Linked DNA regions of Mus musculus. The protein of the gene in region 2 purifies or fractionates together with the protein of the main gene of each other region. This does not show direct contact. Links are inferred from orthologs where the notes say so. Each region holds a gene or a part of one and is shown on either strand. Other genes may lie near its edges. The genes, in order: Dcc and Casp9.

Region 1 (4,565 bases), on a different chromosome or scaffold from region 2:
TTGGGACCTGCACAAAGCACATTGCCTTCGTTTTCAAATAACACAAATGTTTTTAGAAACGTGGAGAAGTTTAGAACAATGATCAGCACAGGTCATTCACCGGCACTTTCCTTACACATGTATATTTTTGTGTAGGGGTTTTGTTGTTGTTGTTGTTGTTAGATTTGTCTACGAAGAGAAAAGTTTGAGAAGGTAATAATTGAAATAAAAACGTGACAAATAAATGACTAAATATAAACAAACAAACAAATCCCTAAATGAATAGGAAGGTGATGTTATTATAAGGATTAATAAAACATATTGAATCTATCTCCATTCATCTACCACGAGTTTTTGCAGGGAAATGATCATTTGGCAATGGCTTTAAAATATTGCATAAGTGATAACATTGTCTATTTTGCACACTTGGCTTAATTCAATATTGTCAACTATGGTTCTCTCTCTCTCTCTCTCTCTCTCTCTCTCTCTCTCTCTCTCTCTCTCTCTCTCTCTCCTCTGATGGGCTTTCTGCTTAGTAAGGAGCATCTCTGAACTTCCCTTTCTGTCCAGGTGCTCCCAAAGTGCCAGGGAGACCACAAGTCTCCTTCTGGGTACAAGAAAGATGTAGCTTGCTCTGCCCCTCGGCATTTGCAGTTTAAAGAGGGCATTTTTAACACTTTCTATTACCACAAGAATAAACTACCCCCTACCCTCTCCACACCTACCTCCCACCTTCAAAGGGAGTAATTACAGAGGACAAAGCTCTGGGAGAGATGAGCCAGGGAGGAGGGGACCGCCCAGAGGGAGGAGGGAGGGCCGGCAACTGAACTGAGGGTGAGGGTAAGCGCGCGCATCATAGGCATCGCACAGCACGCAAGCACACACACACACACACACACACACACACACACCACATACACTCAAGCGTACACACACACACACACACACACACACACACAGAGAGAGAGAGAGAGAGAGAGAGAGAGAGAGAGGGAGGGAGAGAGAGAGAGAGAGAGAGAGAGAGAGAGAGAGAGAGAGAGAGACTGACTCGCTCTGGCTGCCTACAGAAGGATTAAAGCCCAGAGCCTGGGCTCGCGTTAATCCTGAATGCTGGCTCGGTGCTCGCTTCATGGCCTGAATCCCTTGCCACACCGTGAAGCAACGCCTTCTCTGCTTGTGTTCGCAACCCTTGATTCTGCAACTGGGACCAGACAGCCGGAGTTTAGGACTCCGGGGAGACAGGGGACTTGACTGCTGTGATTTAATTTTATTCCCTGTTAATTTCGGAGGCACAGGTTGGGGCGCTCCTCTCTAACTCCTGGCCCCAGCCGAGGCGCTCTTTGGATGGGAGGAAAGGTCGATTCCGAAGGGACTTGCATGCTCACGCAGCAGCTGTCCTGTCTTTCCCCAGCAGACCAGCAACCTCTACTCAGTGCCCACCTACTTGTGGTGGTGTCCCGCAAAACGAGAAAATCTTATCACTTTGTTCGTTTTTATTCTTTCGGCCACAGAAAGAAGCCTCAGCTCCGCATTCGGAGACTGCAGCACCCAGGGAGCAGCCTTAGGATCTTTCTTTCTCCTCGTCTAGCCCCGCAACAGTTTTGCCATTTTTAATTAGAAAATACGCTTGCCAAGTGAGGTCCGGAGGCCTGTCTCCCAGAATATCCATCATTTGGAGTTTGGAGGTGTCTTGGAGGTATTTGGAGACTTAACTAGCAAACAGCATTCACCCACCGTTAAAATCTCAAATACATATCCCTTCATCTGCCACCTCTTCCCCTCTTCTTCAAGCACCGCTATGCACTCACCCAAAGTACTCAAAACGGATATGTCTCTTTCTCGATTCTCAATCAGCACGTACAAAAAAAAAAAAAAATGCAAAGCCAGGGTCGCATGTATTCACACAAACATCCCCAGCAGATGTAGCCAGCACAGACTTGCTCTAAGCACCTTTGATGTCATCCCCGCTTACTCCTGTTATCCCATCCACCAGCCCCTTTCCAGGCTTGTGAGGCTCTGAGAATACAACCCCATCAGCATCCCCATCACTTTCACCACCTTGCCCCCCAAGACAAAACAAGTATTTGTAAAAGCAAAGACGCAAGCGAGAAGCACAAGATTGAAAAAGCGCGAAGAGATGCCCTCGACCCCACCAACATCCTCCGCCCCCAGGAGGAAAAAGTCTTCTTGTGTCTTTTATCATTCGCGAGAAAACGGTAGGCAGAGAGAAAACCGAATACAGTATCTCTCTTCCACTCTAATTCTACTCTCCAAATGAAACGGGAAGGGGAAGGGGAAGGGGTAAGGGGTGGGGGAGCGAAGAGAAGAAAGGAAAAGACCTCTTACCCGTGACTTGAAGATGTGCGCTGAGCAAGGAAGCTCCGAAGAGTACAAAAGCCAGCTTGGGTACCCAAACACATCCAAGACTATTCTCCATATTTCAGCCAACACCTTCGGGGCCGGGGGTCCTGGGCAGCGGTGGCACTCACACACATGCACTCACACACGCATGCACACATGCACACACCCGCGCCGAGCCCCCTAGGCTTCCTCCTCCTCTTCCTCCTCGTCCTCTTCCTCCACCTCTTTCTCCACCTCCCCTGCGCCTCTTCTGCCTGCGAAGCCTTTTTTTCTTGTCCAGGGACACAATCAGCAGCAGGAAGACGCAACGAAAAGTTCCATTCGGTCCAAGAGCTCCCGAACCCCGGTAACACCTTGGAGAACTAACTCAAGGAAGCAGAGGGAGCAAGCAAAGGGGAGACAGCTCTCCGTGGGGCTTGTGAGGCATCAATGAACAGAATATCCAGAAGGGCTAAAGAGGAGACGCAAAGCAATCCTGTGGCTGGCCATGCGTTAGATGGTTGAGGCTGCTTCCTTGTAGTCGGTTGGATAAAGTTGGAGAGAAAAATCCGCGCCCGTGATGCTGTCGGTTTGGCTTCTCAGAGCTGGGGAACCGGGTAGGGGGCAGAGGCGGTGGAGTGCCGGGCAGAGCGCTCTCACTTGTTACTGGGGTGTCCGCCAGCGGTGTGTGAGCTGATAGTTGGAACCTTACTATCCATTGATCCGGAGAAGTGGAGGGTTGGAAGGGAAAATGTGGAGACCGGAGGGAAACGAACTGGATCAGGGAAAGACTCCACGCAATGGGGGGCGGGGGCCTAGCGAAGCTTAGGGGGGGAAAAACGCGGACGGAGGAGGCTTCCAGCAGCTGCGTTTGCCTGGTCTACATATCAATGCGCAGGGATGCCCTCTGTGGGCAAAGCGTGGGAAGTCACTTTTGTCAATGGAGCCAGAGAACATCATGAGCATCTGGAGGCTTTGCAGCAATCATTTTTGATCTTCAGCATTCAGGAAATTATTTGTATGACTGTAAAATCTAGGCAGGTGTTTCACATAGGGCAAGTGGCCAGCCTTTTACTTTCTTTCTTGTGCATGGTTAAAAAAAAAAAAGACATTTCGTTTAGGAAAAAAAAATCAGCTAATGCAACCCACTTCTAGAAGTGGGAAACAGAGGCCCAGAAACACCCCACACGGAAAACAAACGCGAGACTGCTGCTTCCTTGGGAGTGGAGCTAGAACCTTTTCCCTTGCGCATTTTATTTCCTCACTCTCCTCCAGAAGTGAATCAGAAGTACAGGTATTTAAAGCACTCACCTTATTCAGGGATCCTCAAGGTCTCCCAGGAAACACGAACCAACTGGAGATTTAACATGACTCAATCCCCATCCCCAAGGGTTGAGGTTTTCATCAGTTGGGATAAAAGTGCCAGTGGACAGTTTACAGTTATTATATCTGTGCCGATCCGTATGATGAGAGTGTGTTAACAGAGAAGGAAAGACTTCTTCAGTCCCTGGACAGACAGACAGACAGACAGACAGACAGACAGACTGTGAAGGAAAGGCGTGTGTAAACACACACAGATATACACAGACACTCATACAGACACACACACACACACACACACACACACACACACAAATGCAAGCACATACACACCCCATACACACAAACACATACACACACTGACACACACAGAGACACACACACATGCAGGCACAAACACACCCAATACACACAGACACACATATACCATACACACAGACACACACACACAGAGACACACACATGCATACATACATCAGACACACAGACACACACACATATGCATGCACACACACATGCATGCACACACACCCCATACACAGAGACACACAGAGACATACACACACCAGACACGCGTCAGACACACACACACACACACACACACACACACACATACACACACACACACACAGAGAGAGAGAGAGAGAGAGAGAGAGAGAGAGAGAGAGAGAGAGAGAGAGAGAGAGAGAGCAGGTTTCAGGAAAGCAGTACACAGTAAAAGTTGAGAAAACTGTTCCAAGCCCAGGTATTTTGCACATTTTGTCCTCTCTGTAAGACATCATCAGGCAGGCTCCTCAGGCAATGGGTGCCCTGTGCCTTTCGTCTCTGCCCCACTCACAGATGCTAGCAGGACTCGGAAAAGAGCACTGCAGTTTTGTTAAAAGAATGAAGCAAACAAACAAATGGATTTAGGCCAGAAAATGATG
Region 2 (4,379 bases):
TCCAGCTTCACTACTCTCTGCTCCTTTGCTGTGAGTCCCATTGGTCCCAGGACCACAGGCACCAGGTGGTCTAGGGGTTTAACAGCCTCTGGATCCTGCTTGGCTGCTTGCCGACCGCTTTGCAAGAGTGAAGCCAGGGTGCCTTGGCCTGTGTCCTCTAAGCAGGAGATGAAGAGAGGAAGGGCCTGCCTCCCTCGGGTCTCAAGGTCTGTGACCAGCTGCCTGGCCTGATCCCGCCGAGACCCAGATCCTGCCTGCTGTTTGGATAGAAAACCAGACACTCATTATCCAGGGACTTCCATGTGGCCCTTAACCTACTTCCCATTTCTCACCTAGCCTCTGCCTCCTGAGTCCTGGCTTCCAGGTGTGTGTCACCACCCCTGGAACAAGCAACAGTCTGTCACTGCCAACACTAGGTTGGAAACTGCTCTGACCACACTTAGCTGAAGGAAATCAGAGGCTGCTGGCGCCTCCCTGGGCAGTTCAGCTTCTGATCCCCCTTAATATGCCTGTGGTAGGTGGGCAGAACCTAATCCAGCAGTGCCCTGAGTTCATGTCCCTCTGCAAAGCAGAAAGATACCTACTGTGGGTGTCCAGTGCTGTGCTAAGTGCTAATTAGCCCTACTAAAAGTAGCAAAAACAGTGGTCAGTAGTTTACACAAGGTACTTAAATTTTTCTCAGTTTGTTTCTAGCATTAAAATAAGAGAACTGGATATAGAAATCAAGATCTCCAGCATTTTTGTTTTTGAGAAAAGTTAAGTTTCTCTTTTGTATGAGGGGAAAGCTTTCATATTTGGGGGGGGGGGGGCGCAGGAATTCTCAAGTAGCCAAGACTGGCCTTCAACTTCCTACATAGCAGAGGATGACCTTTGAACTTCTGACTCTCCTGCCTCCAGAGTCACCAGGCTTGGTTTATGTTGGGGATTGGACTCAGAGATTCATGCATGCTAGACAAGCACTGTACCAAACAAGCTATACATCAGGCTTCGTGTTCTGATTTTGCTTTTAAGTATTTAAGTATGCATGTATGTATGTATGTATGTGTGTATATGTATGTACGTGTGTATGTATCTTTCTATCTGAGTCTGTATGTGGCAACTGTGTGTGCATGGTACCAGTGGAGGCCAGAAAAGGGTGTCAGAACACCTGGAACTGGAGTCAATAGTTGTGAGTTACCACATGGGTTCTGAAAACTGAAATCAATGCTCTTATCCACAGAGGCAGCTCTCAGTCCTTAGTTTTGGCTTCTGAAGACTCCATCTCAGGTAGCCAGGCTGGCCTCAAACTCTGCATGTAGCCAAGGATGCCCTGGGAACACCTGATCCTCCTGCCTCTACCTCCTGAGTGCTTGGATTCCAGATGTATGCCGGCACCCCTGGATCAAACTGCTCCTTTCAAACAATCTGCCACTGCCAACACAAGGGCAGAACTGTTTTGACCACACTTGGCTGGAGAAGGGAGCAAGACAGTGGCTGCTGGTGCCACTCTGGGCAGTTCAGCTCCTGATCCCCCTTAATATGCCTTCTGGAAGGCTAGGACTTTCCCTTCAAACCACTTTTCTTGATCAGTATGGGCCCATCCAAATGTGTTCCTGAGCCTACTTTTGTTATTATTTGGCAGCTAACCACATGACTCTACACCACTTTCTTCTATCTCCTTCACTGGACCAAGCCACGTTCCAATACAGATGCTGGAGACAGCCTTGTAGACAGTCCCCCAGGGCCTGGCACTCATATCCTCTCAGAAAGAAATATTCCCTTTTCAGACCTGTGGTGAGGCATCAACTGGAACAAAGATGCTAAAGTGGTTTTTTTTTTCTCTTTTTAGAGTCCTTTAAGAGTTTTTACTCTGTATCTTCCAATAGAAGATGCATTTATGCATACAGCTATCCTGTTTTCTCTGTAATTTTCATACTCATCTTTAGACTTTGAACAAGTTGACCTTTTCCCTTGTGTAATACAGAATTTTATCAAGCTAAAATTGAACTCTAGTACAATGAAAATAATACTGCCACCATTATATTTTGATCCAGAATAATTCCACTCACACAGTAATCCATATAGCGTAGAAATTCAATACACCCCTTTACACAAGCCATCAACATTGTGACTCATGCTCTAGGTTTAAGTGGGCGAAAGTGGATTAAAAAAAATCAAATGTTTGATTTTATTCTTCTGCATTACCTGCATCAAATTCCTTCTTTTCTGAACTCCTTTATAAAACATGCACTTGATAAAAGCCCAGCCAAAAAAGACAGATCCTGATTCTATGTCCTTGTCCTAGGACAGGATGACCACCGTTCCATTTCACAGCCCTAGAAACTGAGATTCAAAAACGGGAAGTGACTGGTACAATGTGCCAGTATAAGGCTAAAGTGGGTGTCTAGGGCCCTTATACTAGAGAAGAGAAAAATCATAAAAGTTCAAACGGTGCAGATTACAGACCGCTTTTAACAAACACTCCACAAAAGAGGAGCATGGGTTCTTCTATTTTATTCTTGTGGCGAACTAAGAGGGCAGTACTGGGGAAGGTTTTAAAAATGGAGTTCCCACACCATGGTTTCCCAGGGCGTGGATTGCACAGGGTGCAAAGCGGAAAAAAAGGGCAGGAGCTCCGTAGTGGCTTCAGAGAACCTCTCAGCGACCTCCCAGTCCCTATCTGCGCCGCGGGAAAAAGAGGGCGGACACAAGGAGGCGGGGCGCACCTGAATATCCTCGATCATGTCGCGCGTGAAGAGCTCTCGACTCAGCAGAGCGTCCCAGAGCTCCGCGACTTGCAGCTCGCTCACTAGGCGCACCCTGCATCGCCGCAGGAGCTGCCGGTCCGCCTCGTCCATGGCGAGCCGATTGCGGGACCCCGGGTTCTGTCCGCTTCCGGCCCTCGGGTTCCGCCCCGGCGCCCACGCCCCGCCCCCACATAGCGCCTCCAGGGATCCCGCTCCGGCCAGCGGTCACCCGGTCCACTGGGCTCCGCTCCGCCCCGCCCCGCCCCGCCCCGCGGCCTGTGACTCGCGCTCACTGGGCTCCACCTCCGCAATCAAAACAGCTCCCACGGCCGCTCACCCCACCACCAGCCCCCAACACCTCCCTCAACGCCGCGCTCTCAGGCCCCGCCCCTTCGCCACGCCCTACGACCGCGCTGCTTCGCCACGCCCACTGGCGCTGCATTCAAGCTCCGCCCCATCACTTCGCCGTACGGACTAAGACCTGCCTCACATGATAACGCTTCTCCCCTAGGACTCGCCCCTCCTCGCCTCGTAGACCAGCAATCCCGCCCTACCGAGTTCCTTCGCCCCGCCCCGAAGCCCTCCTTTGCATCCCAGACTCTCCCCTAGGGTTCCAGGCCTTGTGGTTGCCTTGCTATCTTGCTCCCATTTGCTGGTTCTGCTTAGCGGTAGTTGTAACTTTTCCCCTCGCATGGCGATTGCTCTACCAAAATTCACAATGACCCTACTTCTACAGATACTCAAAGGATCACGAGAGAAAAGGGAAGAAAACCACGCCTAGACATTTGTCCTAGATCTTTCAAGTCCCTTGCTGGCTGTGGCTTTCTAACGCTGCGGCTAGTAAACCTCTTGCTGCCTGCTGTTTCAGGGCTATCGTGCCCTCAATCTAACCAAGCTCATTGGTTAGATCTCGCTCTCTTTCCCTCCTCAGCACCTCCCCCAGAGAAACTGCCAGGAATCTAATCCTATGTTCTCTCAGTTTTGTACCACTTATTTCCACGACTTAAAAAGTAATTGAAATAACTGGAGAGATGGCTCAGCGGTTAAGAACACCAACTGCTATTCTGAAGGTCATGAGTTCAAATCCCAGCAACCACATGGTGGTTCAACAACCATCTGTATTGAGAAATGACACCCTCTTCTGATGTCTGAAGACAGCTACAGTGTACTTACATGTAATAAATAAATAAATCTTTAAAAAAAGTAATTGAACAAGGTCTGAAGAGATGGATGGTTCAGGGTAAAGAGGACCAGCTGTTCTTCCAGAGGTCCTGAGTTCAAATCCCAGCCACCACATAGTGGTTTACAACCATCTGTAATGGGATCTGATTCCCTCTGTGCATGAAGACAGAGTGCTCATATATGCATTAACTAATTAAACACATTTTTAAAAAAGTAATTGGGCATTGTGCTAGCCCCTTACGCTATTCTCTCTGCTAGCCTTATGCCACATTCCTGACAGGGATATAGTTATTCCTTGATGACAGCTGTAGACATGTGTCAGGGATCTCACAGCGTGACCAGAACCAGAATAGACTCATAGCCAAGAATCCACCTTGGAATATGTCAAACGATAATATTACACTTGTTTCCTGATTTGGGCATCAGTCAACATTTCCTTCCATAAAATAGGATGTACACTCGGGAGGAGCA

Evidence for each region.
Region 1: the proteins of Casp9 (region 2) and Dcc purify together in Homo sapiens (co-immunoprecipitation; 3 studies listed by BioGRID and IntAct, with this or other methods). This does not show direct contact. The link is inferred for Mus musculus from reciprocal best matches to the Homo sapiens genes CASP9 and DCC.

What each region holds. Positions count from the first base shown.
Region 1 is NC_000084.6:72,348,031-72,352,595, forward strand, and holds the start of Dcc (netrin receptor DCC precursor), read right to left. Parts: upstream 3,040-4,565; 5' UTR 2,417-3,039; coding exon 2,326-2,416; intron 1-2,325. UniProt on the Homo sapiens protein: Receptor for netrin required for axon guidance. Mediates axon attraction of neuronal growth cones in the developing nervous system upon ligand binding. Its association with UNC5 proteins may trigger signaling for axon repulsion.
Region 2 is NC_000070.6:141,792,313-141,796,691, reverse strand, and holds the start of Casp9 (caspase-9 isoform 1 precursor), read right to left. Parts: upstream 3,081-4,379; 5' UTR 2,838-3,080; coding exon 2,706-2,837; intron 258-2,705; coding exon 1-257. UniProt on the Homo sapiens protein: Involved in the activation cascade of caspases responsible for apoptosis execution. Binding of caspase-9 to Apaf-1 leads to activation of the protease which then cleaves and activates effector caspases caspase-3 (CASP3) or caspase-7 (CASP7).